2 linked regions of the Tribolium castaneum genome follow. The protein of the gene in region 2 binds, or shares a complex with, the protein of the main gene of each other region. Links are inferred from orthologs where the notes say so. Each region holds a gene or a part of one and is shown on either strand. Other genes may lie near its edges.

What was found.
Region 1: the proteins of Rabex-5 (region 2) and ras-related protein Rab-21 are in contact, whole or in part, in a crystal structure (PDB 2OT3), measured with the Homo sapiens proteins. The link is inferred for Tribolium castaneum from reciprocal best matches to the Homo sapiens genes RABGEF1 and RAB21. Residues at the interface, in NP_001273991.1 of Homo sapiens: Leu253, Cys254, Lys296, Phe299, Asn300, Lys303, Pro309, Ala310, Ser311, Ala312, Asp313, Phe315, Leu316, Pro317, Ile320, Leu347, Met348, Thr349, Gly350, Glu351, Gly353, Tyr354, Tyr355, Thr357, Asn358, Cys360, Cys361, Ala364, Phe365, Ser373; in NP_055814.1 of Homo sapiens: Ser19, Phe20, Lys21, Gly26, Glu27, Gly28, Lys32, Thr33, Leu37, Thr50, Thr51, Leu52, Gln53, Ala54, Ser55, Phe56, Ala71, Trp73, Asp74, Thr75, Ala76, Gly77, Gln78, Arg80, Phe81, Leu84, Ile87, Tyr88, Asp91.

What each region holds. Positions count from the first base shown.
Region 1 is NC_087394.1:37,242,362-37,258,159, forward strand, and holds ras-related protein Rab-21, read right to left. Parts: upstream 11,765-15,798; 5' UTR 11,447-11,764; coding exon 11,312-11,446; intron 11,262-11,311; coding exon 10,975-11,261; intron 10,895-10,974; coding exon 10,666-10,894; 3' UTR 10,539-10,665; downstream 1-10,538. Other genes in the region: Mbs (protein phosphatase 1 regulatory subunit 12B), read left to right, coding at 274-686, 743-887, 939-1,149, 1,232-1,306, 1,633-1,824, 1,875-1,941, 2,179-2,313, 3,021-3,116 and 9 more. UniProt on the Homo sapiens protein: The small GTPases Rab are key regulators of intracellular membrane trafficking, from the formation of transport vesicles to their fusion with membranes.
Region 2 is NC_087395.1:26,375,509-26,392,454, reverse strand, and holds Rabex-5 (rab5 GDP/GTP exchange factor), read right to left. Parts: upstream 10,462-16,946; 5' UTR 9,970-10,461; coding exon 9,837-9,969; intron 9,070-9,836; coding exon 8,881-9,069; intron 8,831-8,880; coding exon 8,506-8,830; intron 8,399-8,505; coding exon 7,126-8,398; 3' UTR 7,089-7,125; downstream 1-7,088. Other genes in the region: BRISC and BRCA1-A complex member 2, read left to right, coding at 1-233; transmembrane GTPase Marf, read right to left, coding at 849-2,025, 2,299-2,585, 2,656-2,676, 2,830-2,937, 2,993-3,292, 3,376-3,596, 3,641-3,851; endos (alpha-endosulfine), read left to right, coding at 4,709-5,059; zinc finger protein OZF, read left to right, coding at 5,471-6,847; dsd (attractin-like protein 1), read left to right, coding at 11,790-12,016, 12,112-12,809, 12,923-14,177, 14,478-15,220, 15,313-16,151. UniProt on the Homo sapiens protein: Rab effector protein acting as linker between gamma-adaptin, RAB4A or RAB5A. Involved in endocytic membrane fusion and membrane trafficking of recycling endosomes. Stimulates nucleotide exchange on RAB5A. Can act as a ubiquitin ligase.

The sequences.
Region 1 (15,798 bases), on a different chromosome or scaffold from region 2:
AAATGTTTCGATTTTTTTTACTTAAAAAAGTATGAAATATAAAACGAAGTTTAAAAAAGAAATTGAAAACTTTATTAGATACTCGAAATTGTATTTGCATTATTAAACAAATTAGTCATGATGAGTTTTGGGTGTGGCTGGTTAATAAATTAATAAATAAAAAAACTAAGCCATTGTTCTTTTCTCTGTTGTCACAGTTTTTATATTTTTTTTTGTTATGGTTTTGTCTTGTTGGCTATATGTTTGTGTTTTTTGAACGTGAGCTTGTTACAGGCGTGCATTGACGATAATTCCGAAATGGTCGAATTTTTGGTCGAGCACGGAGCGGACGTAAATCGTGGCGATAACGAAGGATGGACACCATTACATGCAACAGCAAGTTGCGGTTTTTTGTACATTGCCAAATATTTAATTGAAAAAGGTGCAAATGTTGCCGCCGTTAACAACGACGGTGAATTGGCCGTAGACATCGCAGAATGTCAAAAAATGGAAGATTTACTAAACGAAGAAATCAAAAAGAGAGGAATTGACTGTGATGCAGCTCGCAACGAAGAAAAACGTATCATGTTACAAGATGCTAAAGAATGGTTAGCGACCAAAAGTACACTTGTGGACGCACCACATCCCAAAAATGGGGCTACGGCACTTCATGTAGCTGCAGCCAAGGGATATACGGACGTTATGAAGTTAGTCGAGTGAAAATTTTTGTTTTCTTTTATATATTTTTTTTACTAAATTTTAGAATTTTGCTTCAATGTGGGGCAGATATCGACGCTCAGGATATTGACGGGTGGAGTCCTTTACATGCTGCGGCTCATTGGGGACATAAGGACGCTTGTCAAATTCTGGCAGAAAACCTAGCTGATATGGATGCGAAAAATTATGTCGTACGTCATTAAACAATAATTGGAGCACAATTAATTATTTTTTGTTTTTAGGGTCAAACTCCGTTTGATTTAGCCGATAATGACATGTTGAAGGTTTTGGAGGATCTCAAGAAGAAGCAAAACAAAGAGGACGTGCTTAATAGGCGGCAAGCGAAAAAGAGAGCCGAAATACAGGATAGGACTATTGAAACTGAAACGCCGAGTAAAGTTAAAAAAGTCGAAGTTGAAGCAGAAAAGGAGGATAAAGAAGAGGATAATATCGGTGAGTTGTATAAAATTTGTGGGATTTTCGTACAAAAGTGCTTACTTTTTAAATATTTTTTTTCTTTTCTGCTGCTTTAAAGAAATGGACGTGTCTAGTGAAAGTGAATCCGAGACTGAAAGCAGTTCTGAAACAGAATCGAACAGCACTGATGATGGTAATTTTTGTCAGTCTGTAATCACTTGTACAGAAATGTTTAAGCATGAACGAAAAGCAACGTAACATTAGAATAGCTCTTTGTTTAGTATTTTACGATTTTTTTTTCCTTTCCAGAGACACTCGACATGATTTTGTGCATGCCAATACAATTAACAATTTTGTGCAAAATAATAACTTTTCTAACGCCTGAAAACAAAGAGAAACGCGAATAATCCACCAATTAATTTAACACTTCTAACGTCAAAAATATTTATCACATATTACACTAAATATTAGAAAATAATTTTTAAGCGATAATTTTTTAATTATTGTATTTGTTTACAGAGAAGAAGAACAGAGTGAATTCTTTAGATGCAGTAAGCATATCAAATAAGCCCGCAGAACCTACAAGACTGCCACCTAGTGTGCCTCCTAAACAATTAGTTGATTCAAATAACGAAGATAATGCGCCCTCTTGGAGGAAGCAGAACACACGACAGACCAAAGCCGATTTACCAAGTCCTGTAAAAACAATCGGTAATTTTATAATAGTAGTTGTTGAATAAATTTAAATGTAATGTTTTTAGCCGATTCTGTAAATAATGAAAACGACGTTACCCTCAGAAGACCCACTAGTTTACAAGCGGATAAAGAGTGAGTGTGTTTTTTTTCTTATCGCTTTTTATTTACAAAATAATAACTCCTTCGCAAAATGAGCTTCGCCTATTAACCAAGAAATTTAATATTTTTCATCTTGCAAAGGAGAGGAAATTAATAATAGCTTATTTTAATCGACTATTCTCCAGTTTTTACTACTTTTATTTCTTTTCGAATGTATTGTAGTAGAAACTGATTGCATCTAACGCTCTGACACTTGCTTGTATTGTTTAGGTTCTACTCGAAATACGAGGAACTGCATGCACGCATTAAGAAATATAGAAATAGCAATGACATTATTCCTTATTCGACTAGACCTCATTCCGACATTATCCCAAATTCCTATTCAACTTCTCAGCAGCATTACAGGTATGCACGTGTTGTTGTCGTCTTCAATTTTTTTTATTATAAAGCGATGGTTTTTTAACCAAAGGGCAAATATTAACAATTAATCCAACAATTAATGCTTGATGACCATCGCTTTATAATAATTCGTTGTTGAGATGTATTTAGTGCTTTTTTACGATTGTGTAGGAGATTAAATGTCTGCACAAGTGTTTCGTCACGATTTATTAGCATTTGCATGAAAAACTTCTCTTGATAAATATTGAAATAAATTTTCTGATAATCTAAAATATTACAACTGATTATGAAAGTTTATCACTTGTAACAAATCAAACAACTTCACTTTTTTGTGACAAGTCATTAGTTTTACAACTTGGGAATTATTAATTAATTAAAAGTCGTTTCAAATTGTTACGAGCAGTCAGAATTACAACCAAAAAAAAGTTATCTGTTCTAAGGCGAAAGTCACCAGATGCCAGTAATTGTTATTTTTATATTTTTCAAAAACTGTCTGATGGTGAGGCTGGTCAAGTCATTAAAAAAAAATACTATTTCAATAGTTTTTCATTAATATTGGCAATATTTTTTGTCGCTAAAGTTTCAGACCAATACCAAATCAGGTGGTAACGTAACAATTTGGAACGAGTTTTATTTACATTTTTTATTCATACGAAATAGAATAAATAATAAATGCATTTTTATTGAACAAATTCCTTGTTTATTCCTTCTAGAAGTTTGAAAGAAGACAGCAACGAAAATAACAGTACATCATCAACGAAAACATCACCGGTTATGAGTCCAGTATCTAATAATCAACCACTTCGAAGGTAAGCGTTTAGAAAAAACTAAGAAATATCGGATTTAGGCTTAATGTGTTGTCAGTTCGTAAATTTATTTTGTCAATTCTTTCATTAGCGGTTTAAAATTGCCAATTGGCACAAATCAACCTGTCACAACCACTAGCACTCCAACAACTCCTACAACACCTGGTGGCAATAGACTTCAAATGTTTAAAAACTTCTTCAAGTATGATACTGTTTTAACCGAGTTTGTGTGACGTTGCTTACTAAATGTTTGACTTGAGTTTCGCCAATTTTTACTTTTTCTTAAAGTTGAGCTTTGTTTGATTAATTTTTTTCCAAAGGTCGTTTGTGCCACCCGTTCGTGACGAAGAAAGTGAAACGCAACGCAAAGCTCATGCGAAACGTGTTCGTGAGACGAGGCGTTCGACTCAAGGTGTAACATTGGAGGAGATAAAATCGGCTGAACAATTCGTTAAAAAGAAGAATCAACCGAATTGCAATAACAACAATAACGAGCAAGTAAGTCGTGACTTCATTTTTCAGTTTTATGGCTTATTCATCCGGGAGTGGTGAATAATTCTTGTAATAATTTTTTTCCATTCATTTAATAAATCATATGTAATGTGTACTAACAGTCTGGAGCTAACGGGGATTCCCCTAACGGAGTGAGTGTGACCGCTACAATAACCACTGCGGCACCTACTGTTATAACACGTGATACTGAAGAACCCAGTATTACTCATGAGCGTAGGCCGTCGTGGAGGCTGAAAATTGACAGTAGTAGTAAGGTGAGTTTTTAGGTGTTGTGAAAGTCACTGTGGAGCCGCAAATGGATGATTTTTTTATCACTTCTTCTTCGCTTTTTTCTTCTTTTTTTTTAATGATTGAAACATGCAAAATTACCAAAGGAGGAGGTTCTTGATAATACGTGTACCGCTTTTGGTTAAACTTTCAAAAGTTACATTTGAAATGTGAATGAAAAATTGATTAGAACATAGTATTAAATTTTGCTAAAATTAATTTTTGTCATATTAGCACGTTTTTCATAAAAAAAACGCAATTATTCGAAAATTATCCAAAAAATAATAATTCGAATTTAGGCGAAAATCGAGTTATTTTTGCTTTTTTTTAAACTTATTTTGAACTCAAAACTCAGTTTAAAAATTCACTAGGCTAAATCAAAAATGACATTATTTTGGCGACATATCTGGAAAAATTGTTGCCCAAAAATGTGAAATTTCGATTAAAGTAAACCACAAAATCGCCGAAATGGGTGCACAATTTTTCAATTAGACAATTCTATCGTTCTATAATAGTAAGTGCCATTCTAAACAATGAACCAAAGAAATTATATTTCTCACAGCGACTTAATATTAATTAATTCATTTCCAATATAAAGACTTGAAAAAAATTGATGAATTCTGTATGAATTGAGATACATGTTTCTAGGTCGTATTATCTGAATTTTTAAATTCTTCTTTATTTAATTAAGCAAAATTTAGTGCTAAAACTTAGTCTTTGTATTTGGACTTTTTTGGCCTGTCTATTAATTAGACCTTTGATTAAAATTTAAACTTGTGAAATAAGAATTTAAAAGTGGAATCTTCTTTTTTTGTTTTTTTTTTTGGATTACGAACTTATTGGCAGGTAATTATGTGTGTTGGTTTTGATTGCTTATTAACATCGGTTTACTTCGTTAATTTAGTGAATATCAATCCTTACTGTAGTCATTTTTTTTCAGATTTGCGTTTTGGTTTTTCTTCTAAGCTTATACTTAATCTGTAACCCTATCCAACATATTTTGTACTTAACGTCACTTTTCTTGTATTATTACGTTAAGCATGCATGTTAGTGTGTAATGCTATTGTTTGTATTTAGTTGTAGCACAGCAAAAAATACTGATTTATCTGGAGTGTCATAATAATAACTAAACCGATCTCGTTACTAGTACCAAATGAAATTCTAATAAATGTTTATTGAATAATAACCGTTGTGTTTAATAATTTTTTGGGGTCTATATAGTTTAACAACACGGGGTTTGGGCATAAATGTGTGCACGCTAATACTTTTTGTTGGATGTAGTTTAAACTGGAAGATGCAACGAAATCCTCTGAACCACCAAGCACTCCGTCCTTTGTCCGTCGCACCGTCACACAAAATACCACCACGAATCCTAGACCGTCATCGGCACCGGTCGAAACGGCCGAAACTACGGTCACGTTACCATTGAGAAGACCAAAAACTCAAGATGAAAAAGGTACGATAAAAAAAAATTGGACGAATTTTAACCGATTTTTACACAGAACAAGACAAAGAAAATGACGTACGCAACGCTCAAGCCACTCTCGCCACACAGGCGGCCATCCAACGAAGAAGGAGGCCCAAGAGGAGGTCCACAGGGGTCGTCTCGTTTGAAAATATGGATGTGAGTGTGTGTAAAAAATCGCGATTTATATATCTAGGGAGCAAAGTGTATAATTTCCTCCCGTGGGCAAAGTTTGCAGCCCAACACGAAGCAGAGGGTTGTAATTACTCTCGTGACATATATATGATTTTTTTTTAATAACGACTTTTATCCATTTAGGATATGGATCAAGATAAGGATCCGTCAGGAGGTGGTGATTATGAAGATAGTACGAAATTAAATCACGAAGAGGTAAGCGATGTTTTTGCGTTCGATTAATTTGTTTATTTCGTTCATTTATTTTCGTTGGCAACGGTTCGAATCTAATTCGAATTTTTTTCTCAATACAAACGCACCTGAACGTTATTTTCTTAGTATTAGAAAAACCTTAATTATTTCGTAAGTGGGAGGTGATGAAAGGAGCAAGGTTGTGGAAGTTTCACTAAACATTATCTATATTTTTAAAAAAGTTTGTCATCGCTTAATTAAAAAATACAAACAAAATCAATTTTTAACCAAGGAACTGTATTATGAGTCGACTAAAATTGGAACCTTGTGGCCAATACAATGCCAACTCTGATCTCATTGTTATAAAGTTTAACGCCCATACACTTACATAATTTTTGTGATAAAAATATTTGATAAAAAGTACGCATGCATTGAAAGTGTTACGTCTGTGTGAGGCATTTTTTAATAAATCGTAATTATTTGTACTGTAACGATGATGCTTCGAATTGAGGTAAGAACTCGACTGTAATTTGAATTTTTGTTGTTGTTTTAAATTGACTGGCGAACTAATTACGTCTCGTGTAATTGCCATATTTCGGCGCTATTATTAAACCAATAATTTGGCAAACTTGCAAAATATCATACTTATTATTAGCAGTGTTGTGTCGTTTAAACTTTTTTCTCGTAGTAAATTAATTAAGAAACTTATAAAATTTAATTTTAAACTAAACGAAGTTATCTTTCGCTCGTTAAATTCTTCGGCTTAAAATAACTGTACCTAAATATACGAATTATATCTCGAATATCCACCACCATCGTCCCCTTATGCGAAATGTAAAATAAACAAATCAGGTTTAATGTAGGTTATTAAAATCGCAAAAATAGTGAGAATAAATTTCGTCATTCATTTCGGTTTTATTCGCACGTGCCGTTGAGACCTTGGCCAGGTGCGAGTTTCATTTATCATAAACGTTGGATTGGCCAGAGTTCAGAAAATTGACAAAAAGACCAGAAATGCCAATTATTCGTCGTGTATGACTTTTTTTCTAGATTTTCTTTACGTCGCAACGTTACGTGGGTGCGTTATTTCGGTGGTTTTGACGAACAGGTTCATACCTTGAAATAGATTTCTACGTAAAACAACAAATTTAAACAATGTTTATTTAACACACAAAAAAAAATTAATTGATAAACTAAGGGTTGTGCTTGTGTTTTTTTTTTCTGGTCGTTTCAGGAAAATCAAAATTAGACGAAGATAGAGAGTCGTTTAGTGGGATTTAAATAGCTTGCCAGTTTTGTTGGTGTGTGTATATTAGAGTTTCCACGAGTTCAGTCTGTTTCATGTTCGAGTTCAATGCGAAACTTATTTGTATACTATGATTTTTTTAAGTCTATAAATTGTAGTAATTGACTTGAGTTCGGGAAAATTGTGTTTCTTGTGTTGTTTTTTAATCGAGAAAAATGTCTTTTCACGGTAAACAACCGGTGCCTCCTTTGAGACGTCGTTCATCTTCAGCGGTTCGAAGCAACGGAAATTCCTATAGTAATAGACCGAGGAGTATGGGATATTATGGGACAAATACAGTCGGTTATACCTCTCCTTATACATCGTCAAGTCCTTATTCTTCGTCCTCGTCTTATGGCAGTTATAGTTCGAATTACAAAAGTCCCTATTTTCCCAATGGTTACAGGGGAAGTTCCGGTTATGCGAGCATAACAATTCCAGCGAAAAGTCTAGCAAATATAAATCTAGTCACTCCGAATTATTCGAAAACGTACGATACAGGACATAGGTCCCGAAGGGATTTATCTAGAACTGGAAGTTTTAATCGCGAGCGGGATCGTTCCTTGTCCAGATCGCGTAATTCTTTAACTGGTGGTAGTAGCTTGGGATCAAAATCAATCAGTTTAAATTCTTTAGCGTCAGAGGGTTATATTGTACGAATTTTACAAAATTAGTGTTTTTTATTGAGTGTTTCACACTTGTTTGCAGAGTGATAGGTCGAGCAGATCTCGTTTAGGAAGCACTTCGGATATTAGGAACGAAAACGGCGAAATTGACTATAAAAAATTGTATGAACAAGCACTTGTCGAAAACAATGAACTCAAGGACAAACTGAAAAAGTCAGATCAAGAATTGAGGGATACAAAACAGACACTGGAGAAGCTCAAAGTTGTGGTAAGTCTTAACTTAAAGTGAGTTTTTTCGTTTGAATGAAATTATTACAGACGAGTAAAAATTCGTTATCGGAATTAGAGAAACGCGAACGGAGGGCAATGGAACGAAAGTTGAGTGAGATGGAGGAGGAATTAAAGGTAGGTATTTGAATTATGTTATAATTTAATTCTAGTTTCTTCCAGCATTTTTTTTTCTTGTACGAATATTATTTCGTAGTTTGCAGCAAGCTTTTTTTGGATGATTTTTTTTTCTTTTGGACGGGAATTTGATATTTAGTTTAACCATTAACACTAACAGATTAACAGTAACAACACCACATAAAACACGAATTTTCTTGCACAACAAACAACAAACAATGCACAATTTTTGTGTCGCAACGATTATTTTTCGATGACACAATGATTTTTTTACTTGTAAAATTGGAGCACACCATTTTATTTTTAAATTTGAGTTATTGGTGGTGAAAAATAATACTCAGTGACCCTAGAAATGTGAAAGTGTAAGTTGTTGAACAAAATTTGATGTTACATTTCCGCTGTCACTCAGTGTAGTTGTGAAAAATGACTTGCAAATATTGCGTGTAAAAATAAAATGCGGTATTTTTTGGTGTAAATGAGTTAGAGTGTTTGCTATTTTTGCTCACATCATGTGCATTTAAAAACGTATAAATAGCAGACTTATTATCACGTGATATGTTTGTCTTTGGTTATTTTTGTTTTTCATTTATGGTTTATTTTTGCGAATTTCTTGACCTGTTTGAGATAATGATTTAGCAGCAGCAGAGAGAATTGTATTTGTCTGTTTTGTATAAAAAAGAAACGGGTCAACGTGAAACCCAAATATTTTATAAATAAGCCGCCAAATCTAATTCCGTACCAATTGCCTAATACATAATTAATTGCTTTTCATGTGTCGCTCTAATTTTATCAGTAAATTATAAATACATAGCGCATTAACTAAGTATAATGGAAGCTTTAAATCTAGTGTAATTTTCAGGATTTTTCTCCTCGTTATAAATGAATAAAAGTTGTATTTGGTACACGTTGTATTATTGTTTTAGCAATTGCAAAAATTGAAAGCCGAGAATGAACGTTTAAAGGCTGACAACAGGTCTCTCACTCGTGTCATCACCAAACTTACCAACTCTCCAAAAAAATAGGTAAAACTCGTTAAAACGCCATGCAGCTGATTTCGCCCATTTTTTTTAATGAAATTGTTTCCTGTTGTTCATTTTGTTTTATTATTGTACACTTGTTTTGTGTTCAGATGTTGGATGATGGTAGAACGCATATTTACACACCTAATAACAAAAAAAGTTTTTCTTTTTTTAAATTGCTAACATACTAACATATTCTCTCACATTTCCAATTTTGTGCAGTGTTTTTTGTTTGAATGTTTGAGCTTTTTTTCACGGACCGATATTGACACACGGCTTAATTATTCGTACGTGAGCATGTGTTTAACTTACTACAGTCGATTGGCTGTTGCTAATTTGCGTATTGATTTTTTCAGCAGTTGGATATTATGAAGGTAGAAAATCAAAAGCTAAAGGACGAGAATGGAGCGCTTATTAGAGTGATTAGTAAGTTATCGAAATAGCATAAGCCTTAGAAGTTTTAATTTTCCTATTGCATTTTACTCTGATTACTAGAACTTCGTAGTCCGAAGTCGTTTCCTTCCTTTTTTTGTTGTAATCAAGTATTATTGTTATTTTTTATTTATTGAAAATTGTACGAAACGAATGACCACATTCAAGTAATGTCTGCTTCAAATCGGTGAATTTGAGGCAAATTTTACATTTTGACATAATAAGGCATTTGTGTTGGATTGCTTGTAGTTTGCTGGTTGTGTGATATTATTTGCTTTTTATTTATTTTGACATTGTAGGAAAAGACATGTATTAAACACTTCATTTTTACCTACTAAACGAACATGTCAATTTAAAGTATATTTTTTGTAAAACATATAAACATGTTGTATTATATAAATGTATTTAAATGTACTGTACTTTGTGAATAACTTATTATTAACAATTGTTGTGATTTTAATGTTACAAAAAATATATAAATTATTTGTTTTTTCTTGATATTTGTTTTATAATGCTTGCATTTGATCAAATATAAGCATTATAAAAGTTTGTTTTCCTTAGGTAATGTACAAAATCGATTTTTAACGAAAAGTTTAAATTGTTAGAATCTAGTCCAAAGATGAAAAACTTGCGACAAATTTTGTTGAGCACTTTTCACTTGTTAGATGTTTTTAACTTTGAAATTATGCCATAAGGTGCTAAATATCACTAAGTTCAAATCAAAACTTTACATATGAATTTTGTCTGTGACCATAATAATAAAAATTGGACTGATGAATGTTTTGTTTCATTAGCGAAATTACATTTGTACATACAGTTTGTTAATTTCTAGCGTTTTAACGTTTTATTTCATTGAACTTGTGCCTTGCTTCTCTTTGTATTTATTATATAAATTTTTAGTTAGTGTGTAAATTATTTCATGTATTTATTCCTTGTTTAGAGGCTGGTAGAATATCATGTGAATAGTGATTTTATAGCTGATTCTTTAATAAAATCCTGATACGAATTGTGAGTTTTTCTTGGGACTGGTAGGTAAGTATGAAAAAATTCTGTACATATTTGGGTTTATTCTTATAAAGCATTATTTGGAGGAAGCTCCAAATTACAACCTTGACTCTCTCGTTACATTTTTTGACTTAAAACGAAATTATATACAAAAAATAACAACACAAATTTACGAATTGCTACAACATTGTCTTGTGGGTGGTGGAGGAACTTGATCATCGTCAACAACAACAACATTGCGACGTTGCGAATTCTGTCTAGACAAGGGCGCATTTTGCGCTTCTTTCTCTTCAACAGTCTCTAACATTTTCTGCGTCAGAACGAGAAACATCTCCTCAACGCCTTTATTCAATTTTGCCGACGTTTGAAAATGTATCGCTCCCACTTTAATCGCATAGCTGCAAAAAAAATAATTAAAAGTTATTTGAACACAAGCAGCGTAGTGATGAGAGAGTGAAAAACCTAAAGTGTAACTCACGCTTCGGCTTCTTCCAAGCTAACGTTTCGGTTCTTCTCAAGATCAGTCTTATTTCCAGCAATCACTAGACATATATCAGCCCCCAACATCTTCCGCAATTCCTTCACCCAACTTTTGACTTTCTGAAACGAATCTTCATCAGTGATATCGTACACCAACACTGCACCGTTTGACGATCTGTAATAAATAGGGCCTAAGGCGTGGAACTTCTCCTGACCTGCAGTGTCCCAAATCGCCAAATTTATGCGTTTGCCGTCAATATTTAGTTTTTTGTTGAGAAACGAAGCCTGAAAAAAAGTGTGTAAAAGTGAAAATTTAACTTGATTAAACACCGTACCTGGACCGTTGTTACATGATTCGTGTTGAATTTATCCTCCACATACCTAAGTACCAAGCTGGTTTTCCCCACACAACCCTCCCCCAACAAGACAACCTTAAAGTTGTGGGAAGCCCCGCTGGTGTTGTTGGCCATAGTCAACGAATTTCACTGACTCATTAAATACAATTACGCACAAATGATTTATTAGACTTTTCCCCACAATCAACAATTATTTTCGATTACATTTTCACAATCAGCTGATTGTTCTTTATGTAGGCGTGACTTTGCGTACCTGTCGCAATTAGTTTAGGAAAACGCCGCTAGGGGGGTTTCAAAATTTTTTCAATTTTCGGCCAAAACCACATTTTTTCAGGACTTGGTTAATTGCAAATGGTTATTTTTTGACAAAATTTTCGGTCCACAATAACACCGCGAAGAATCAAATCGATTTAAGACGTGTAAACAAGTCGGTTGTAAAAGGAAACGTCAGCTCAAACTTGACGTAACACCGGAAGTCGTACTCAAATCAACAACTGTTTTTGCGTTTCTCAGGCAAAAAACGTGACTTGTGCCCAGAATTCAGGCATGTTTCAGGTTGCGATAAATTAGGTGTGAATTGTGGGATGCGTATTTTAGGGAATTAGGCTAAAATTGTTTGAAATTCGCCCCGAAAGCTTTAGGCTGCGCCTTGAGATGCGCAGTGGCTCATCTGTGTTTCTAGCCGTCATCTGTGTTGTATTGGTAAGTAGACAATCAATTTTTTGCGTTAAATTTCTCAAAAACTACGTGAAAATATTGAATGATTCTCTCTCCTGAGTGTTAGTTTAGGTCGTGTCAATGATTGGGAACGAGTGTCATTGGGAATTATCACGTAGTTCATTTAAAATTCGCTTTTTTTCGTTGGCGTCACATCGGTGGTAGAGAGCGTTTGTTCAAAAGCACAGCTCCAAGTATTGTAATCAGGTCAAATAATTGGATGTCTTTGGGCGATTTTTGCACCAAATCAGTCGAAAACGTGCAATTGTCGCCCAAATTTTGGTTTTGTTGGATTATTTCGACGGGCGATATTAGTCGGGACGTTTGGCACGTAGGCCGCTTTCTCTTATGCACGTGTTGAAGTGTTCCAGTTTCGGGATTGCATCGAGATGTTTTCGATTTAAAAGGCATTATGTAATGGAAAAACTGGAGGAAAATCGGTGTGGTCGTGACACCATTTCTCGAAGGAAAAATAGAAAGTTGTGGGCAAAACACTAGCACAAAAATTGATTATTTTTGAAAATTGAAGCGTCACGTCAGTGGAATTATTACTATTTGTTTGCTAATTTGGGCCCCAGTGTGTTAACCCTTTGTCTCACACTGATCATATATGAATGAATGGGTTACGCCCACGGGAAATTCCATAACTTTGTGTCTGTTTTGTGTGATTTGGGCCTTTAATTTTTCGATAGTTTTTCCCCCCATGGGCCGAAAATGCACGATCTGGTCTCCGACCGGCTTCTTTACACCACGCGTTGTTCCATCATGGCCGGCGTCAACGCTCCACATAATTTTCATCGTGAAATTGTATGAAATGTTACCGAAATTTCAGTTATTTTTGTGTTTTTATCACGAAATTTGTTATAGCATTGAGAAAAAAATCGAAATTTCGTTCTTTAATCGACTCGGAATTGATCAAAAAGTTACCCCCCGCCGTGTTTTAAAACTAAGTATGTGGTAATTAATGTTTTTCCGTTTGTAACTGGTTGTAGGATGTAGTAAACATTTTATTGTTGTTAAAAGTAAATAAATGAAAATTATTGATTCTGGTTTAAGTGTTATCAATGTTTTTGTTGCAATTGGGGTTTTTTCACTGTTTGCGGAAATTGTGATTAATTTTTGTCATCATTTTTATCAACAAATTGAAGATGCAATTATTTATAATGTTGTTCTACTAATAATAGTAGCTCAATCGAATCGCTTAATGGAAACAAAAAATCAACTTCCAACTCTTAAATTATGTAATATATGATCATTAACGAAAAGAAAACTAAATTTTAACATAAAATAAAGTTAAGAGAGAATAAGTTGTGTTGTGAAATGGTTTATTTATTAAACCAAATTTAAATACATTCATGGGTAAAAAAATCTGCAGATTTATTTCAGTTTAAACAGTAAGTTTAGAACTGAGATCTCCATGATGGAGCTTGAAAAACGGACATTATATGGTCTAGAAAGTTTAGAAAATTAAGGAGAAAAATACCAGAGAAATATCAGTTTATAAATTCATTAAGCTTGCAACAAAAAAATAGAGGATTATGGGAAACGGAAGGCTAAAGAACTGTACAGAAATCAGAAAAAAACAATAATTTGCTGTTTTTCAAAGCTAAAACAACCGTCATTTTTTAAACATGTATACTTATTTATTTGTGACCTATTTGTCCTCAAAAGTGTCGTTTTGCCATTTTAAAAAATACTGATAAAATTGTGAAGAAATTTTCCTCTCCGACTTGTTGCAAGTCGAGCAACTAGTTTCAATCAGGAAAAATGGCTTAATTAAAATTATGCAAAATAGATGAGCTTGTTTATTTTTGTAAGTGGGTTGTTGGACGTAGCGTTCTTATTTCTTGTTCAATAAGTTCATGATGTTTATATATTAATAGAAAATGGTGTCAGAATCAAGCTTTTTTTTGGTGGATTTATGTCAATAATTGTGATTACAGTCATTACAAAACGAATGATAATTTTGACTCGTGTCTTGATCGATCCGTGTTGTAGGTGAATGCCCTTTAAAGTTTGTCGACTTTTTAGTCGCGACAACGATGCTGTTTACGATTGCACAAAGTAAATGATGCTTCAAAACTCGTCGAAATCACGGTCGTCTTGTATCTATTTTAATCCTCTGGTTTATTATATGGTCCTGTTTTGCATTGATGGCGCCTTCACCCAACGGCCTACTACCACTGTCCGCGACCTTTATCGTTTTATTTGTCTCGAGATGCACTTTTTGGGGTTATTTTTAGCAAATCGTAGGTCATGTTTTCGTAGAGAACTTATCGGTGTTTACACAGAGATAAAAGAATCGGTTTCTTTGCCGCGATGTAAACACCAGTTCTATAATTAGCTCGAATGATTGATAGCAGTTTTGTGAAACGAAATTTCATTTTTTTTATTTTAATTCAGAAATAGTTTTACTACGATTACAATCCTTGTTATAACCAAAAAAAAAAATAAATAAAAAAATGCGGGAAAACATTTATGGTGTCACAGCTTGATAAGTCTTATCTAGTCTTACAAATTGTGAACATTAGATAATTGATGTAATTGTAGGAAGTGCATTATTAGACGACTTGAAGAACTGCAAGTTATTTTTATTTTATTAAAAGTATTAATCAGTAATGAAACGTTGATATAATACAATTTGCATTCCGTCTATAAATAGCAGGAATAAATTGTTGAGTGTTGAAATACCTGACTATTACGAAATGTAAAGTACGCCTCGGTGCATTATGTTTACGTCGTAAAACAAAATATCAAAACGTTGACATAATTTCGATACGTTTTGTAATTACACCGTATCGCCGAATGCATTTTATGAATAAGTAATTTATCTCACGATAAATGTACAAGACATTGGTGTATTTATAGACAAATCTGTTTACATTCATTTGCTCGAATAGATAAACTTTGCTCGGTATGACAACAACAATACCACAAAAACAATCTTTTGCATATTGTAGAAATGAAACGTCGTGGTGCAACGTACAAATCAGCAGGTAAACGAAAATTTCGTTAATTTTTTTTCTGTTGAGGATTTTAAAGGTCACTTGTGTATGAGAGTTGTAAATTAAAAATTGCAAATGCAAGGCCGGTTCGACCTTCCTTTTATTATCTCATTCAATGTCACATGTTTGAAAGGCTTGATTTGGGCCCTTTTTACTCCCAATCAACAACAGGTGTGACGTTTTCTGTTGGATATTTTTAACTTGACACACTTAATATACGATTATGTTACTAGGGGGATAATTTTTTGGTTCATTACCGGTAATTAGTGCATTTATTTGTTTAAATGTTTGGAATTTATTAGAAAGTGGGAAATATTCCATTAAAGTTAGTTTCGTTCGAAAAGCCGCCTTAGGATGGATGTAGATTATTCTAATGTTCATTGGTCGTTGACCTGTTTATACATTTTTATTTGAGGGTTCATTGTAATCTCAAGGTTGTATGATCTTGGTTCGTTGTGTTGCAACGACACATTTATGAAAATTAATAAAATCCTTCTTTTGGGACAAACTAAATTAAAGAAAGAAAAAAATATATTTTTAAGAGATTTTTTGATGTAAATTGTTAAGGCTTGAAATAGTAACATGCTGGCTTGGTTCTGCTCTACTTGAGCTAGACAGTGAAACAAAAAATCTTAATTAAATCCGTTTAATTCAAAACGAGAAAGAGAAATTGCATTGTTGTCTGGTGTTTTTGAGATGAGACAGCAATTTTATTAGGAAAAGAAAAAATAAAAAAATGAAATG
Region 2 (16,946 bases):
TAGAAGTTGACGACTATCACTGTCTCGTCCAAATTGAAATTAATCAGACTTTCCCCGAAGAAAAACCCACAGTTACCCTAATTGCAATCAATTGCCACCCTTTGGCAAACACATGCAGGGAAAAATTGGACTACGAGTACAACCCGCATTGGACACCTGAGGAAATGTTGGCAAAACTGATGGATTCATTGGGTGAAAACATCCAACGTTTTGAAAATCACAAACACGCGTAAAAACAACAACTTTATTTACACTAACAATATTTGACTACAAGGCAATAAAGTTGACTCAAACGTTGCCAATCGAAATGAATAAAATTCTTATTTATTAAATTTTAGTTACAATAATATGTATAAGTTAAGTAGCTTCCTCGACCAATCAAGGAGGCATCGTGTTTGTTACCATGGTTGTGTTCGACTGACGGCGCCACATTTGTTAATCAAGGGAGCCGTGGTTGAACTACACCGAAATTCAAATTGAATTTTTTAGATAAACAACAAAATGGTCTATTTTTAATTTATAAGTCGAAAACATTAAAAAAAAAACTCATTTTATTTTTGCAAAAATAAAAAAAAACTATGTATTGTTTGTTAATTAAAAAAAAAATGGTCATGTTTTCTCATTTTATTTTTACACGAAAAAAACTTTTCAAATAAATATGTACTGTTGCTAATGTGGTTTGGACTTTAAAATTATTTTTCATAAAAATCCAATTTGAAATTCTTTTCGTTTGCACAGTTCAACCTTAAATTAAATAATCACCACTATTTTAATGTCCCTCTGGCAAAATAACGAGCAGAGATTTGAAAACGCCAATTGCTCCAATATCATACATAAACTATCACAACTTAATGGTGTATCTTAAGATACGCATCCTCGAACAACTCCAACTCATGTGCCAAATAATTGGCTTTGTTCCTTAAAACTTTAGCCCTTCCTGCTGCATTTTCCAACGTTGCCACATCTTTCTCCAACTCTTTGAATTCCTTATCCATTTCGCCCGTTGCTTCATCGACCACGTGACACAATCGAGCAAAAGTTCCGCTCAACTCTTGCTGCACTTGATGACTACAATTCGCCGACGTCAAATCAACAATCATTTTCAATTTTCTAGTAGCGTGATTGACGTATTGTTTCTTAAAACTCTTTTCTTTGGCTTTATTCGTCCAAGTGAGACGTTCATAGAGATAGAGACAACTATAGACAGCCCCCGTAACTGCAATAATCCTCCAACCGACTGTCTTAAACAAAAACCCGGCAACTAAAAGACAGCCCATTGTACCTTGCGAGGACACGCCCATTATAGCCAATCGCGAAATCAACGACCAATCTTCAATGATTGAAGGCTGGCCGCCGTATAAAATACGACCATCGTATTGGTCGGTTGGAGTGGAGGGGATGACTGAATTTTGCGGACTTTCCCGTTTGTTTTTCAAGGCGAGGAAATTGGCGCCACTGCCGGCAAATCGTTGAATTAGCGTGGTAATCCCCCAAGAGAATCGGAATTCTAAATCTTCGGTAAAATCAGCGCATAAATTATCGCAATTCAACCGATACAAAATCTCAAACGGTTGCCGACGCGGTAAAATAAAATTAGACGCCGCTTTGTGATTTGCTGGTAGTAATTTTTCCATACGTTCGGTCATTTCGCGTTGACTCGCTTCCATGTTCATTGCTAAAGCTGTTGAAAGTCGGGCTTTTAAATTTGAACCAAGACCGGTTTCGACGTGCAAATGCAATTCTTTTTTGTAAACGTTCAAAACTAAAGGTTCAGGATGGAAGGGGAGATTAAATTCGTCAACAAGTGTACTCAAACGACGGATTTCCTCGTTTAAAGCTTTGGAAACGCGCTGTTCGACGTCTTCGACCATTTGGTGGATTTTTTGCTTCATTTCTTGTGTTATTATAATTAGTTGCTCTTCAGTGTAGTTGATTTTGTCGTGTACTTCTTTCTTTTGACGCAATTTCTCGTCTTTTAGTTTTTGCGCGTCGTTGTAAATATCGTCTAAAACCTCGCGAAGTTCGCTGAAAAAAATTACTTAATCACTTTTAAATAAGGCGAACAAAAAATTGCAGGCAGATAAATTAATTCTCAGTGGCAAGAGATTAAAATAATGTAAAAATTGTATCATGAACTATACAAAGTGTGTCAGTTTGGTATTGTAACTCTATAGTTACAGGGTTGCTAAAAAGGCTCGCAGCGCCCTAATTTTTATTCTGCCATCTAACTTTTTTGGGTACGATTTTGCATCTCGCGTCGCCTCCTAACCTATAGTACTCCCTAGACTCTGTACTCACTTTGCTATGAATTTTCCGCGTTGTGAATGTTGTTCGAATTTGGTTTTGACGGCCGATTTCGAAATACATTCTTCGAATTTTCGTTCAAAATCCTGAAATTCGAAATAACGCGTCTGGAAACCTTCAGTTAGCGGTGTTGAAACGGTTTGTCCTTGTTCAGCTAATCGTGCTTGTAGTACTTCTTTGGCCGAAATAAAGAAAATTCGTTCTTCGGCCTCTTTCGGTGTACAAACTTTTAGTTCTTTGACAAGAAAATCGACGGCACGTTCTTGGTGTTGACGTCTGACCTGTAGAAAAAATTATTAATTTAATAGAAGATTTAAATTCTAAAGTGTCACTGTGAATCTAATAACTCACCTCTTCCTGTTCATTGCAATGCTTAAATGTGAGAAAATTTGATGTAATTATGGACAAAAAAAATCAATAAACTTATCAAGAAAAAAGCGACAAAACAAGGAGAATGATAACAAAAATTATTAAGCAATGCAATGCAAACAAAAATCGAGGTGTTTGTGAATTTTCAACACCCACCTGATCCAAAAATTCCGGTTCGGTGGCAGAAGCGTCCCATCGATTATTCAAAATGAAAATGTTTGGTTTTGAGAGTCGTGTCGAGACTTTATGGAAGAAATTTTTTTCCTATTACACATTCAATTAACGAAAAGATATTCAAAAAAATTTGGTTATTTGTTACCGTAACCATAAGTGTAGATTCAGCATTCGCTACTAAAACAAAAACATCAGCATCTAAACAATGCTTGTCGATCCATTCGTCTAAATTCGGCGTAACGTCAACTCCTGGCGAATCAACGAACACGACATCGTCTCGTAACAAAAGACAGCGATTTCGCGGCCAATAAACGCGCACCATTTGCGATTCGTTCAATTTTTCTTTGCACAAAGCGTGCGCTAATTGGCCAACAGATTCCACAGCACAGTGTTCAGTGGAACCTTCAAGAACCAAGTAAGGTTCATCGGACGGTGAACCTTCAACCTGTCAAAAAAAATAGTAATTCAAGAAAAAAAATTGATTTAAAATTTTTAAAATTCTAGCTTTAGACGCAAAAATAACTTTACCTGTAGGAAACAATTAGTCGTGTGACCAATTCCGCTGGGAAGGATTTTATCGCGCAGCATTGCATTAATAACTGAGCTTTTCCCGTTGGAAGTGCGTCCAAAAAACGCAACTTTCATGTGGTCACGACTCAAGACATCGCGAATTCCGTGCACTTTACTCACAAAGTCTTCAGTTTTCTTAACCCTTTCTTGGTTAACAATTTCTTGCAGTTTCTCGATTTCTGCAACTTGCGATCATTTCAAGGTCGCCAAATTTTCAACTCACCGTGCATATACTCGACTGCGTCTTTAACATAGTCTTCAATCTCGCCGAAAATATCGTTGATTTTCTTCTTGGCTTTGACAAAAATCTGCAAAGGGGAGTTGTCAGGGGGCTGTCGGGCGCTTCTAGGGTCAACCATGCTCGCAGGAATGGCTTTATTGTGGGGGCCATCGCCCGCCATCAACGAAATTGTGCGGTTTATATAAGCGGCCATCAAACAAGGGGGTGCCAATCTACCATGCGTCTAGCAGCAGCAACTGAAACAAAACATTACAACTTAGAAACATTTATTCTGTGGATAAAAAGCGACATGCGACATGTGATTGACATAAATTATTGTGTGAAAAACCTGCTCGTTTGTGGGCATCTTGACGTCCGGGGTAATCTAACCCCAACTTACAATCCTCGAAAAATTAAGGCGAATTATCGATATGTGTACCAAAACGGGGCAAATACGTACCTAAGGCGCATTAAACGTGTATAAATACGCTATTTATAGCCCAAAAAATAAATAAATCGGTATAAATATATTTATAGGCGACTTGACACCAAAACTGTCAAACTATTCAATTGTTTCGTATCTAGAGACAAGATTTGAAAAAACGACAAGTTCATACCGACAATTGTAATCCCTTTGTATGATTTAACTTACATTTTGTGTTATTTGATTACGTAATTATTATTTTTGTGAGGCGATTCCTCCAAAGCACGAGTTTTTAATTTTTGACGTTGACGTTTGTTTGGGAACTTTTTAATGCGGTTGGTGACGCGATTGTGTTAATAAAAAAAATATTTTTGGACTACTAGTTCAAACTCCAGATTCTAGAATCCCAAAAACTACAATACCAATAAATTGCCGACTCTTATCAATAATTTCCTAATTGTAATCGCAATTAATTCCCATAAATTGGTGTAGAATTTGAATCTCGTTTTTATCACGTTGGTAGTCATTAGCAACTGTCAGACTGTCACCGCTTATTGTTGTCCAACTGTCATTTCGATTTCTCTTGTTACAATTTTGAGGTAATTGAGTTAATTCCCTGTTGATTCGATCAACGCTTGCGTTTAGAAATGAGCGATCAAGATCAAGAGTCAGAGACTCCCCCCGAGATGAGCCCCCACGATGTGGAGAAAATGGAAGAGGCGAAGCTCAAAGCCAAGTACGGGGGGTCGTCAGGCGCCCCCAACCGACTCATGGGGGGCCATTCGGCCTTCCTGCAGAAGCGCCTGGCCAAAGGGCAGAAGTTTTTCGATTCGGGCGATTACCAAATGGCCAAGCAGAAGCTAGGCGGTGTCAATAAGGTCAAGACTGTCCCTGTGCCAGGATTCACCACTGGCGAGGCAATCCCTACACCTGAGACCGTACCCGCGAGAAAAACGTCCATCATACAGCCGTCAAAATTCACATCGAATGTCAGCTAGTTTTTTTAAGTAGCGTTTAAGTGTAGTTGTTGGTTCCTTACTAATTTATTTTGTTTATTCCACCACTTTTTACTAAATGGATACAGATATTGGCATTTTTCAAGTACTCAATAAAATTTTCTTTCCAATGTTTGGACGTGTTTAAATTGGGCGCCAAAAAAATAAAATTCCCCAGTTTCGTGACAAGTTGTCACGGGAAGTGAGGTTACGTGATTATTTTATTTATCAAAAAAATTCAATTTCCCAGCTTATACCTACGTTAGGTGTATTAAAACTAGAAAAAGTGGAGTTGGTGTTTGAATTAAAGTGATTATCTCGTGTTATTTAACACCTTTTCATTGATAAAATCGGTGTAAGATTAGTGGTCATAAAAATGGTTTTCTGTTAATTATTCGGCAAGAACCACAAAAAATGAGTTGTGAATACTTTTCCAAAGCCATAACTGTGAGTGACTTTGACCGAATCTGCCGCACGTGTCTCGGGGACAATAAAACAAGGCCCATCATGGACACAATAATTGGGGACTTTAAAGCAGTTGAATTACTGGAGTCTTGCGTAACTTTACAAGTGACAAAAAATGATTCGTTGCCTCAGAACATATGTGAATCATGCCTGAACGAACTTTACCGTTTTCACGAGTTTAAAAAACAGTGTCAGGATAACGAAGCTGTCTTAAAATTATTGCTTGAACAGCCACAATCCGAGCAAAAACTAGGTGAAGACGAAGAATTTTGCAATATAACGCTAATTGAGGAGGAAGAAGTTGAAAAAAACGAAACTTCCGAAGAAAAACCCAAGTCTAAGACTGATCCAAAAACCCACAAGTGTGAAATCTGCGATAAGGTCTTCACTCGCAGCAAGCTCACGCAACACATGCGCACCCACACGAAGGAAAAGCCCTACCAATGCGAAATCTGCCTCCAGAGTTTCAGTATGCGAGGCAATTTAAAGCGCCACAAAATGACACATACGGGGGAACGCCCCCACGTTTGCTCCACCTGTGGGCGGGGTTTCATCCAAGCCACGTCGCTCCACGCCCACGAAAAAACCCACACACACGACGATCAATACGCACGTGACCAAACCGACCCAATGAAATTCCTTTGCACGTACTGTGGGCGTGGCTTCAAGCGCCTCGTTCCGTTCAACGCCCACTTGGAGAAACACACTCGGACGAAACACCACGCCAAAAAAGAGGAAACTCCAGAAGCGCGCGAACATATTTGCGAGATTTGTTCGCGTGGTTACAAAACCAAACATTTGTTAAAAGCGCACAGTTTAACGCACGGCGAAAAGTCGTTTTTATGCAGCGATTGTGGCAAAGGTTTCGTCACGAAAGCGGCGCTGCAGTCGCACCTCAAAGTCCACACGGGGGAAAAACCGCACCGGTGTATCATCTGCCAAAAATCGTTTGCTCATGTTGGCAGTTTTGACTCTCACATGTTAATTCATTCCGGTCTTAAACCGTACGATTGTAGTTATTGTCCCAAATCGTTCACTCAACTGTCACATTTGACCTATCATTTGCGGACACATAGTGGCGAAAGACCCTTTTCGTGCTCCTACTGTGGCAAAAGTTTCGCCCTTAAGGGCAATTTAACAGTACATGTGAGGACACACACGGGGGAGACGCCCTACGTGTGCCCCGTTTGCGGAAAAGGTTTCTACGATTCAAGCAGCATGAAAAAACATCAAAGGAACCATAGGGCTCAAGAGTTTGAAACAGCTAGAGGTGGGGAAAAGCCGGATGTACCCAACTGGGCGGAGTCTAACTGCCCGCAAACCTAGACATGTCTCTAGGTCACTGATTTTTTTATCAACTGTGTAGATAAAAAAAGTACTAAAAATAAATTTCGTAACTAGAAGTTGTATTTTATTGCGGGTTAAGAGGTGAATGATACAAAAAAAATCGTCTGGTGATGACGCGTTGCTATGGTCGTAACAATACAATTGCCATGGCATTGATCACGGTATCCATAGTGACGAATAATAAGTGTTTGTTACTATGGAAATAAATGAAACTAACGAAAAATTGGGAATAAAATATATTTAAAACATTGATACAGTTAATTCTCCTTATCCTGACTCGTCTGACTATTGGCTTGTGATGCATTGGCGCCCAGCTCCCCCGTAATGCACGGAATGCTGGGTATTTGCCACCCCTGTTTGGAAAACCCCGAATATTGTGCCGTCATTGGTTTAATCGGCGATGGTAAATTCGGTCCTTCGTCCTCTTTCTCTAATAGAGTTTCTTGCGTTTCAACGAACGGTAAAACAAAATCGTCCGGTTTTGTCGGTATTAAAGGAGCCTGTGTTATCGGGCAACTGCTCCCAACTGGACTGAAGGGATCCGGTGTGAAACTTGGCGATTTTCTCTTTTCTGGGGTCAATTCAGCCAAACTACTCTCGCCACTTAAGTCGGAAAAATCGATATCGTAGTTGATTTTAGAGAGACTGTGATCGTCAGTCGGCGATGTTTTACTAACGCACGGTGTGATGTCTAGTTGTAATTTAGTTTTGGCATCGTCGATGTTACTTGTGGCGATTTGGAGATTTTGCAAATAGAAATTTTGACTGTTTTGAGTGTCGTCAACCTTTTCACTAAGTTCTGGGGTTTTACGCGGCTTGATGATAAGTGGAGTGCGCTCCAGAACCGAATTAACTTTCTCGTTCATCTCCTCTTTGAATTTTAAAATATCGTCAGTTAGTTTTTTCGTTTCGTCTTGAACCGTGTTCGTGCGAATCGACAAGTCTTTAAGGAGAGACAAGTGTTCGCACAGCTGGTGCATGCCTTCGCATGCCACAAGTGCCGATTCCCAGGCACTTACCGATGTTATCTCTCCGTTCATGTAAGCCTCGAACTCTTGCTGAGGCATATTTAACGACTCAGCGGTCAAATTTTCAATAAACGAAACGGCGCAGCACAAATTAGTGAAATAATAACCGGCTTCCCCTTGCATTAATCGACTGTCGTTGCAAAAACGCGTTACGTAAAGAATGTTACTTTTCAGTCGTGCCGGATTCGCTTTCAAGACGATGAAAATGAGAGCTGGTAAAAATTCATCGGCACTAACTGGACCTCCTTGACAATGTTGCAAAACTTTGACGACACTCTGACAACAGGAAACAACACAAGACAGCTTGTCTTGTGGTGCTTTCATTGAATCCATTCCGAGTAAATGTGTGATGGCTGTGTAAACTAAATCCCTAACTTCTATACTAGTTTCGCTAATGCAACAGTCTAAATGATGTGCGTTGACCCAACTAAGCTTGCGTATGCGTTCTTGTATTATCAAGTCTTTCTCTTCGTCGTTGGTGCTCGGTGGGCAAAACAGCCAACTAGAAGAAAAACATTCAACTCATTTTTTAACGAAAATTTAACAATAGTTTTTAAAAAATATGTAAAGCGCGTTTATAAATTTGGGTCAAATAAAAACAATACCAACCTGTAAAGACTGACCATGACGTACTTTTCGAAAAAATCCAACAACTCATCCCGAACGTCTGTTGTAACTTCCTGATACGTCTCCGTATTATTGACCCGATTACTGTACAAATTGTAATATTTCTGCGCCATTTCGGCAATATCCTCGATCGGTTTATTCTCCAACTCGCTGTAGATCTTCGTTGTGAACGACTGAACACACTTGAAAAAGTCCCTTCGGACTTGTTCACCCCAAACCCCATAGAGCGAAATAAATTCAGCCGTCAATTTATCAGCATCTGGATTCGCTTGTCTCAAATCCAAATGACGCTCCGGACGACCCGAATCTGCACCGTCCCCATTTTTACACAATTATTGCAAACACTAACAATTTTACCTTTAGCGCTTGAAGTTTTGCGAAAAACGGGCAAACTTTTCAAATATTTGTTCTTCTTGTCGGTTTGTTGGCGCTTCTTTTCTTCGAATTTCGAAAAACCAGAGACTTTGGTTTGGTCGGAGTGACTTTGGCGCGCCTTTCGTTGGCGCTCCTGGTCCATGTGGTTGCGGTAGCATTTTGAACAGTAACCTAACGAAGATGAATTAATTACTTAATGTTTTTTTCGTCGGCTTCATCAAAAGGGCGACGAAAAATATTTAATTGTTTGTGTCAATATTTCTCGAAATTTCTGCGATAAGAAAAACAAAACCCAACTTATCACGATTTACAATAGAGTAATAATTAATTAATACAATGACCTGTGTGATAAGGAAAAAATTCGATAACACATTTTCCGGCCTTGTGTAATAATGGACTACGGGTTATTATAGTTTTCTGACAACGAATTAAATAAATGACTGTATTTTAGCAAAAGGTAAACCAAAAAATACACGCTGACAAAGCGCTAAATTCTCAATAGTACAAGATAAAAAGAAGAATGCAAAAATTATATCGTAAATATCAAAATATTAAAAAAAGCTAATTCCCATTTGCCAATAAAGTGCTACAAAAAGCACTTGATATATACGTTAAATAACCACTTGATGAGAATGAAGATTTCCGTATCAAGGTTTTGTTAAGTCTTAAAAAAAATAATGTACCCAATGGCCAATTTAATCGAAGGTTATTATTTGGGACAAAAAATCGTTTGATAAATTCCACTTTAATTTTTTTCTCGGGTTTGTTGTGAAAATTGTCATCAGTTTTTCTCAGGATATTAGGAACGCAAAGCTCAACACGTCTTTATTTTTTTTTTCAAGTGAATTCACGATGGAGTAACGATTAATTAATACAATGACCCGTGTGATAAAAAACTCGATAACACACTTTTCGGCCTCGTGTAATGGAGGACTTACCGTCCCAATCGGCGTTTCCATAGTATCCGCACCCATTTTTGCACTTGAGATCGGCTTGATTGATCCTTAAAGAGGGTTGTTTGGTGGCGTACATCATGTACTTGTAAGAACGCTGCAAGGCAAATATCGGCATTTTCACCCCACTAATAACACTACTTAAGAACTAAAGAAAATAGTTTATGAGTCCGTTCTTTGTGAATTTCTCAATCGCCCATCTGTTGTGGATTTTTCACTCGTTGAGTGACGATAAAAGGCACTCGTTTTTAGTTTTTGATTATTTTACCACGGTGGTACGAAGCTGTGATCGTGTGCACACAAATTCAACTCTTTCATTAGCATTTGGACGACTGGGAATTGGGGGAATTTTAGAAAGTTGATGCCCGCTGTTTCAACGATGTGAATCCTCGTTAGGGATTCGATGAAGGCACTTATTAAACTTTCACCAGGATCAGCCATTTGTGGAGGGTTTGTCAAGGGGGTGAATTTGTTAACGACAGGGTGCTGGTTGGAAAAACGCAAGGAGGAAACGGGGGGCGAACGCTCGGTGTTGTTTTTTTCGTGAAACGCGAGACAGCTTGGCTCGATTAAGACGAGAAAACTGCCGTTGCAAGATGATGGAGAGTCTTTTATTGGAACGAGTTTATCAAGCGATAAGGATTAACCAATTGAATGGACAAGGTTAAAAGTCTAATTTGACCAAGAATCCTTATCTACGGCCAATCGCAGCGAGGCACAGTTTTCGTGCTAAATAACTGAAGACGATTCGCGTCAATGATTTTTTCAAACGGTGATAAACAACAAATTTAGCGATGATTAATTAATGTTTACTCACCGTCTAGCAAGTTTCGTCAATCGCTCACTAACAAAATGTTTTGCATCTTTCTTGTGGTGATGGTGATAACCTGAAATCAGAAGCGCCTTTCAAGCACAAAGGAAATATAATGTAATGTGTGTCGAGAGTCAATATTGACCGGAACAACCAATTTCATTGAACAAGTATCACTTATTTGGCCAAGATTACTCAAGCAATTTCATATAACCTTTTGGCCTTGATAAAACCGACTTAATTTTAGAAACAAAAAAGGACTCACACGCCTGTTTTATCACTCGTTTTGCAGCAATAAGGACTTTTTTACCAAATTTATCGCTCACAGTTCATTTTTTATGTTTGTTGTTTTGATCAAAAAATCAATAACAGCTGACGCACGCCATTTTTTACCTTCGCAGTGCTGCCAACCTTGCGATAACAAGCGCCCAAACTACTTTTTTCAAATGAGATAAAAAATCTTTTATCAAAAAAGCGAGAAGGTTGCCCTTTTTTTATAAACCACTTGAAATTATTTAAATCAAGGTCCATCCACTCGTCGAATGATTTGATAATTCTTATCTGGAAACATCTGGTGATGATATCATGCAAATTAATCGGCTGTCTTGTGCATTCAGTATTTTTAACAATGATTTAATTAAAGATTGAAGCCACATGTGTGATTTATGGGGCCACCAATAATACATTCACTTGGAATGTTAAAAGAGTGGCGTAGCGCCAATCGGATTGTATCATTTTTTATCGCAAACCGAGCCGTTAAAATGATAATCCTGTCCGTTTTTAGTGTTCTTACTTCGATAAAGCGATAAAACGAGCTTTTTGCTTAAAAATAAAAAGCCGCCCCCTAATCTGGTGACTTTAAGCGCTTACGTGTGCAAGCCTTCCGCCAGTTGACATTTCATCTGTTATGTAGTTAATTGTCAAAAAAATATGGAAAATAGTATCTCTCTGAAAAAACCGTCACCCCTTGGCCAAAAAAGCACCGAAATGAAGAAACCATCACCTAATCATTAACACCCGTTCTAATCTCGCATCGATAATTCCGCCACTCGTCCATTTTCAATTAAAATTTACCGTTTTGTTTTGACGTCGACGTAATGCAACTGTAAAGTAATGGTGGTAATAAGATGTTAGAAATTTTCCAAATGTTTTTGTTCTTGTTCAAGTCGAAATACCGTCGAAAATGTTACGTGTGGCAGGCTTTGTGTTGTGCTGTTGTGGTTTTAAATGTTTGCTCTCTTGTTAAGGCCAAATGTGCGGATTGTAGCGGCAATGGGGTGTGTAAAAATGAGACTTGTGTGTGTTACGACGGCTGGCAGGGGCCCCAGTGCCAGTTTTGCGGCGGAAAAGTGCGGTAAGGGGACACTATTACTCGGTCTAGTCGGCTGGCTCCATAGACATATACCGCAACAAATGTCAAGAAAAAAATTAATTTTTTCCTTGCTTCAGTTTGGGTACCTCCACCGGTACCATTCACGACGGCTTGGGCAACTACTCTCTCAGCGTGAAATGCTCCTGGTTGATCGACGCCCCCAACACCTCCATCACCCTCCACCTGGAGGAGTTCGCCACGGAGTGCGGTTGGGACCACCTGTACATCTTCGACGGCGACAGCGTGGACTCGCCCCTTCTGGCCGTCTTCAGCGGTCTCATGTACAAAGGCGACTACAACATCCGCCGCATCCCAGAAATCGTCGCTTATTCGGGCTCCGCCCTCGTCCATTTCTTCAGCGACGATGCTTTCAACATGTCTGGCTTCAACATGACCTACCGCCTCAACGCCTGTCCCTCGAAAATATCGGGGGTGGACTGCAGCGGCAACGGCATTTGCATTGATCAAGTGTGCACATGCAACGGGGGCTGGACGGGGGTGGCATGCCACCTTCAAAAATGCCCCGATAATTGCGGACAACACGACGGCAGAGGCCGCTGTGAGCCCGAATTCGGGTGCCGGTGTGAAAGTGACTACAAGGGGGACGATTGCAGTCAATACGCCCCCAGTGGCTATTGGGAAACGGTCAATGTTGAAAGTTTTGTGCCTCCGGGATCGGCCTCACATGGGGCTGCCGTGTGGAGGGACTCCATGTACGTCATCGCCGGGGAGAGCTACAGTCGCAGATTTATGCTCTATGTATACGATTTTAACGGTAAGTCGCGCACGCCACTGGAAACAATGTCGTATCCATGGAAACAGTGTAATTGTATCCATGGAAACAACATCGTAGTCATGGAAACAGTTAAAAAACCAGTGGCGTTTCAGGGAACGTCTGGGAGACACCATACATTTCCGAAAGTCCCTCCCAACGCTACGGTCACTCGACCGTCATCTATGGCGATAAAATCTTCCTCTATGGTGGTGTGATGGGTAATCGGGGGCCCACGTCCGAAGTGTGGGCTTTTGATATTAATGCCAAAACTTGGGAGAATATAACTGTGAAAGCAGTGGCGTGCAATTCGAGTGTGTTGATGTGTGGGCCGTTGAAATCGGCCGGACACACAGCCACTGTGATTGAGAATTCGACCAATCGGAAAGCCGATCGTATGATTGTTTTATTCGGTCATTCGCCACATCTTGGCTACTTGAATACGGTCCAGGAGTATTATTTTGGTACACGGGAGTGGCACATAGTTGCAACTAAGGGATATCCGGTCAAGGGTGGCTATGGACATACAGCCACCTGGGATCCCTTGACTGGGAAAATTTATGTTTATGGAGGAGTGGTTTCGGAAAATGAGTCGGCTCAAGTTTTGAGTAAAAGTCTTTATTCGTATGATCCCAATACGCGAGTTTGGGTGTTGTTGAAGGACGCGCCTTCGGCTCGTTTCCTCCACACTTCGACTTTTATTTCGGGGGGTTTAATGCTAGTTTTTGGGGGAAATACCCACAACGATACGTTGCACAGTTTCGGAGCAAAGTGTTACAGTTCGGAGTTTTTGGCTTATGACGTTACGTGTGATACTTGGCAGGTGTTACAAGTGCCAAAGGATATTCACGCTGATTTGGCTCGTTTTGGTCATTCTGCCGTTACTTTTGAGGGTTCGTTGTACATTTATGGAGGGTTTGACGGACAAATGTTGTCCGATATGTTAAAATATACACCCGGGAGTTGTACAAATTTTATCACTTCCAATGAGTGTTTGAGTAAGAAGCCCGGAGTTAAGTGTGTCTGGGATATGCGGAATAATTTTTGTACGGCCATTCAGAATATTCCGGTGAAGAATTTGACGGTTCAATTGGATGGGTTGATAATCCGGTGTCCGGAATTGAGTCGTACGATGATTACGCAAAGTTTAATCCAGAATGAGAATCGTTGTGAGAAATTTGAAGATTGTTTGAGTTGCGTTCAAACGACGAGCGAGTGCGTATGGTGTGGAAATTCCTGTATGCACAACAAAAAATGTCGAAATAGCTCCGAGGCCAATATTGCGAAATTGGAACAATGTCCGCTCGATCCTAGTCCTATTTGTAAGCAGCTGCACACTTGCTCGGCTTGCACCTCGCAACCGTTCTGCAGGTAAGCGGCAGTCTTGATGATACGGAGACGAAACGAGATACAAAATCGACAAAAAATTGAATCGTTTAATTTAAAATGAAAAATTCACTAATCAGTTAGAAAAAATGTTGAGTTTTCCACTCTTAATAAGCTGTTAAAAAAATTATTTACTATTGAGAATTTAAGGCTCTTATCTTGCCTATTTATTTTTTTGTTGGACTCTTGCCCACTGTTATACAAATATTTACAAGCATTTTTCGACGTTTTATTTGTATATCGTTTCGTTATTCTTAAGGCAAATCGCTCAAGGTAAGTTTTTAGATGGCGCTTCGAGCACGCCAAATGCGTGACCCACCCCTTGCCTTCCAACGTAACCGCCGCCGCTGCGGAACCCATCCAATGCCAAAAAGTCTGTTCCGAATACAATTCCTGTCTCAACTGCACTCAGGAGGAGTGCATCTGGTGCCAGAACGAAGGCCGTTGCGTTGACAAAAACGCCTACACGGCCAGCTTCCCCTATGGTCAGTGTCGCGAATGGACAACCGTTGGAAGCAAATGTCGCACTCGAGGCGCAAACGAAAACTCCCAATGCAGTTTCTACTCCACGTGTGCAAAATGTCGCGATGACCCCGCTTGTGGATGGTGCGATGATGGGTCCAGGACAGGTCTTGGCAAATGTATGCCTGGAGGATATGCTGGTCCAACATTACACACTCATTCGCTCCCTTCGTCCACTTGTCCTCCAGATCGGTGGCATTTTACAACGTGTCCGTTGTGTCAATGTAATGGACATGCGAGTTGTATTGCGAATTCGAGTGTTTGTCTACCGTGTCAGAATCTGACGATGGGGACGCAGTGTGAGCATTGTGTCAAAGGGTATTGGGGGAATCCCGTAAATGGGGGAAAATGCCAACCGTGTGAATGTAACGGGCAGGCGACGCATTGCCATCCAGAATCGGGCAAGTGTTATTGCACGACAAAGGGATTGATTGGGGATCATTGTGAGAAGTGTGATGCCACTAATCACTATAATTCCGACCCGATTAACAAGGATTCGTGTTATTGTAAGTTTTTCACCTCGTAAAATCACTCAAAATAACAACTAACTTTTTATCTGTTAGTTTTTGCCAACATTTCAGTTGTCATTTTTTTTCAGACGATTTAACAATCGACTATCAGTTCACCTTCAACCTGTCGAAGAAAGAAGATCGCCACTTTACCCAAATAAATTTCCGAAATTCCCCGATTAAGGCCGACATCGATGCCGATTTTTCCATAACGTGTTCCGTTCTTGCCAAAATGAACATAACAATAAGACGTGGTGGTTCAAAGGAAGAGAAGCCGATTTATGAAGATTTCAATTGTACCACTTTCCGGACGAAATTCCCTAAGTCCGATTATAATTTCGGTGTTGAGGATAACATCACCTTGACCACGTTCTACGTTTATGTTTACGATTTCCAGCCGCCACTTTGGATCCAGATTTCTTTCTCCCAGTACCCGAAATTAAATTTGCAGCAGTTTTTTATCACTTTTTCGTCGTGTTTTCTCCTGTTGTTGCTTTTCGCTGCGATTTTGTGGAAGATTAAGCAGAGGTATGATATGTACCGTCGCAGACAGCGACTTTTTGTTGAGATGGAACAAATGGCATCGCGTCCGTTTTCGCAAGTTTTGGTCGAGTTGGAAGTGAAGGAAAAGCTCGATTTTGATAATATTTCGGTGATTGATTTGAAGCGAAAAAAGCGCGATGCCCCAAGTCCTATTGCACTTGAGCCTTGTTATGGTAATAAAGCGGCCGTTTTGAGTCTTTTAGTGAGGTTACCGACGGGTTGTGAGCCTTACACAGTTAAGGGCCAGTCGGCCGGTTTGGCTATAGCTAGTGCTTTGGTAACGCTGGGGAATCCCCGCAAAATGAGCATCGATCAAGTGAAAACCGAAACGAAAAGTGGAAAATCGCGCAAATCCCAAAGTCAGCATCCTGATAGTTGTCTTTAGTTGGGGTTTTTTGCCGTACTTATTGGTCCGAATTTGTGATACGTTTTTCCAGGCCATGGATTTTTTTAATAGCATTAAAAATGACAAACATGAAATAGTTATTGGTGTGTTTAGGACGCCACTTGTATTTCGAAGCAATTTTAGCAATATTATGATGACTAACTGCTTTTTTTAAAATCGCCTCTTTTCCTCCTCCATTTGTTTGTGTGGTGAGCTTTTTTAAGACGTTTTAATGAGAGACTGAACATATTTATTGTTTTATACTATTGATATTTTTTCATCTGTTGATTTTTACGGTAATGGGCTCGAATTTTATTTACTCATCGGATCGACTAGTCCTTGAATCATATAATGCGGTCCTGATCTCATTACGTACACTTTACTCAAATTTTAGGAAACGTGTATCCGTTTTCAACCCGTCTCATTTTTATATCAATACATTCAACTTAGATGCAACATATTTTAGTAACTTTCCATTTTATTTACTGCCATGTACCTATTATATTATGTACAATTATTTCTATTGTAAATAAATCATTAGTTATATGTTCTCTTATCGGACAATCTTCTCATTATACCCCAAATCCAACAATAGTTATTTGCATAACGTATTGTGAAAATACCATTTCACATTTGCAACACAAGCACAAAAAGTTAAGTATAATATTTAAATTTTATAGCGAATAATAATAAAAATAACTAATGTTTCTTACTGTTTTATTATCTCTATAATTAAAATTGAAAAACCTGTTTTACTGGTTGTATAATCAGCAAAATTGTAAAGAACTCTTCAAA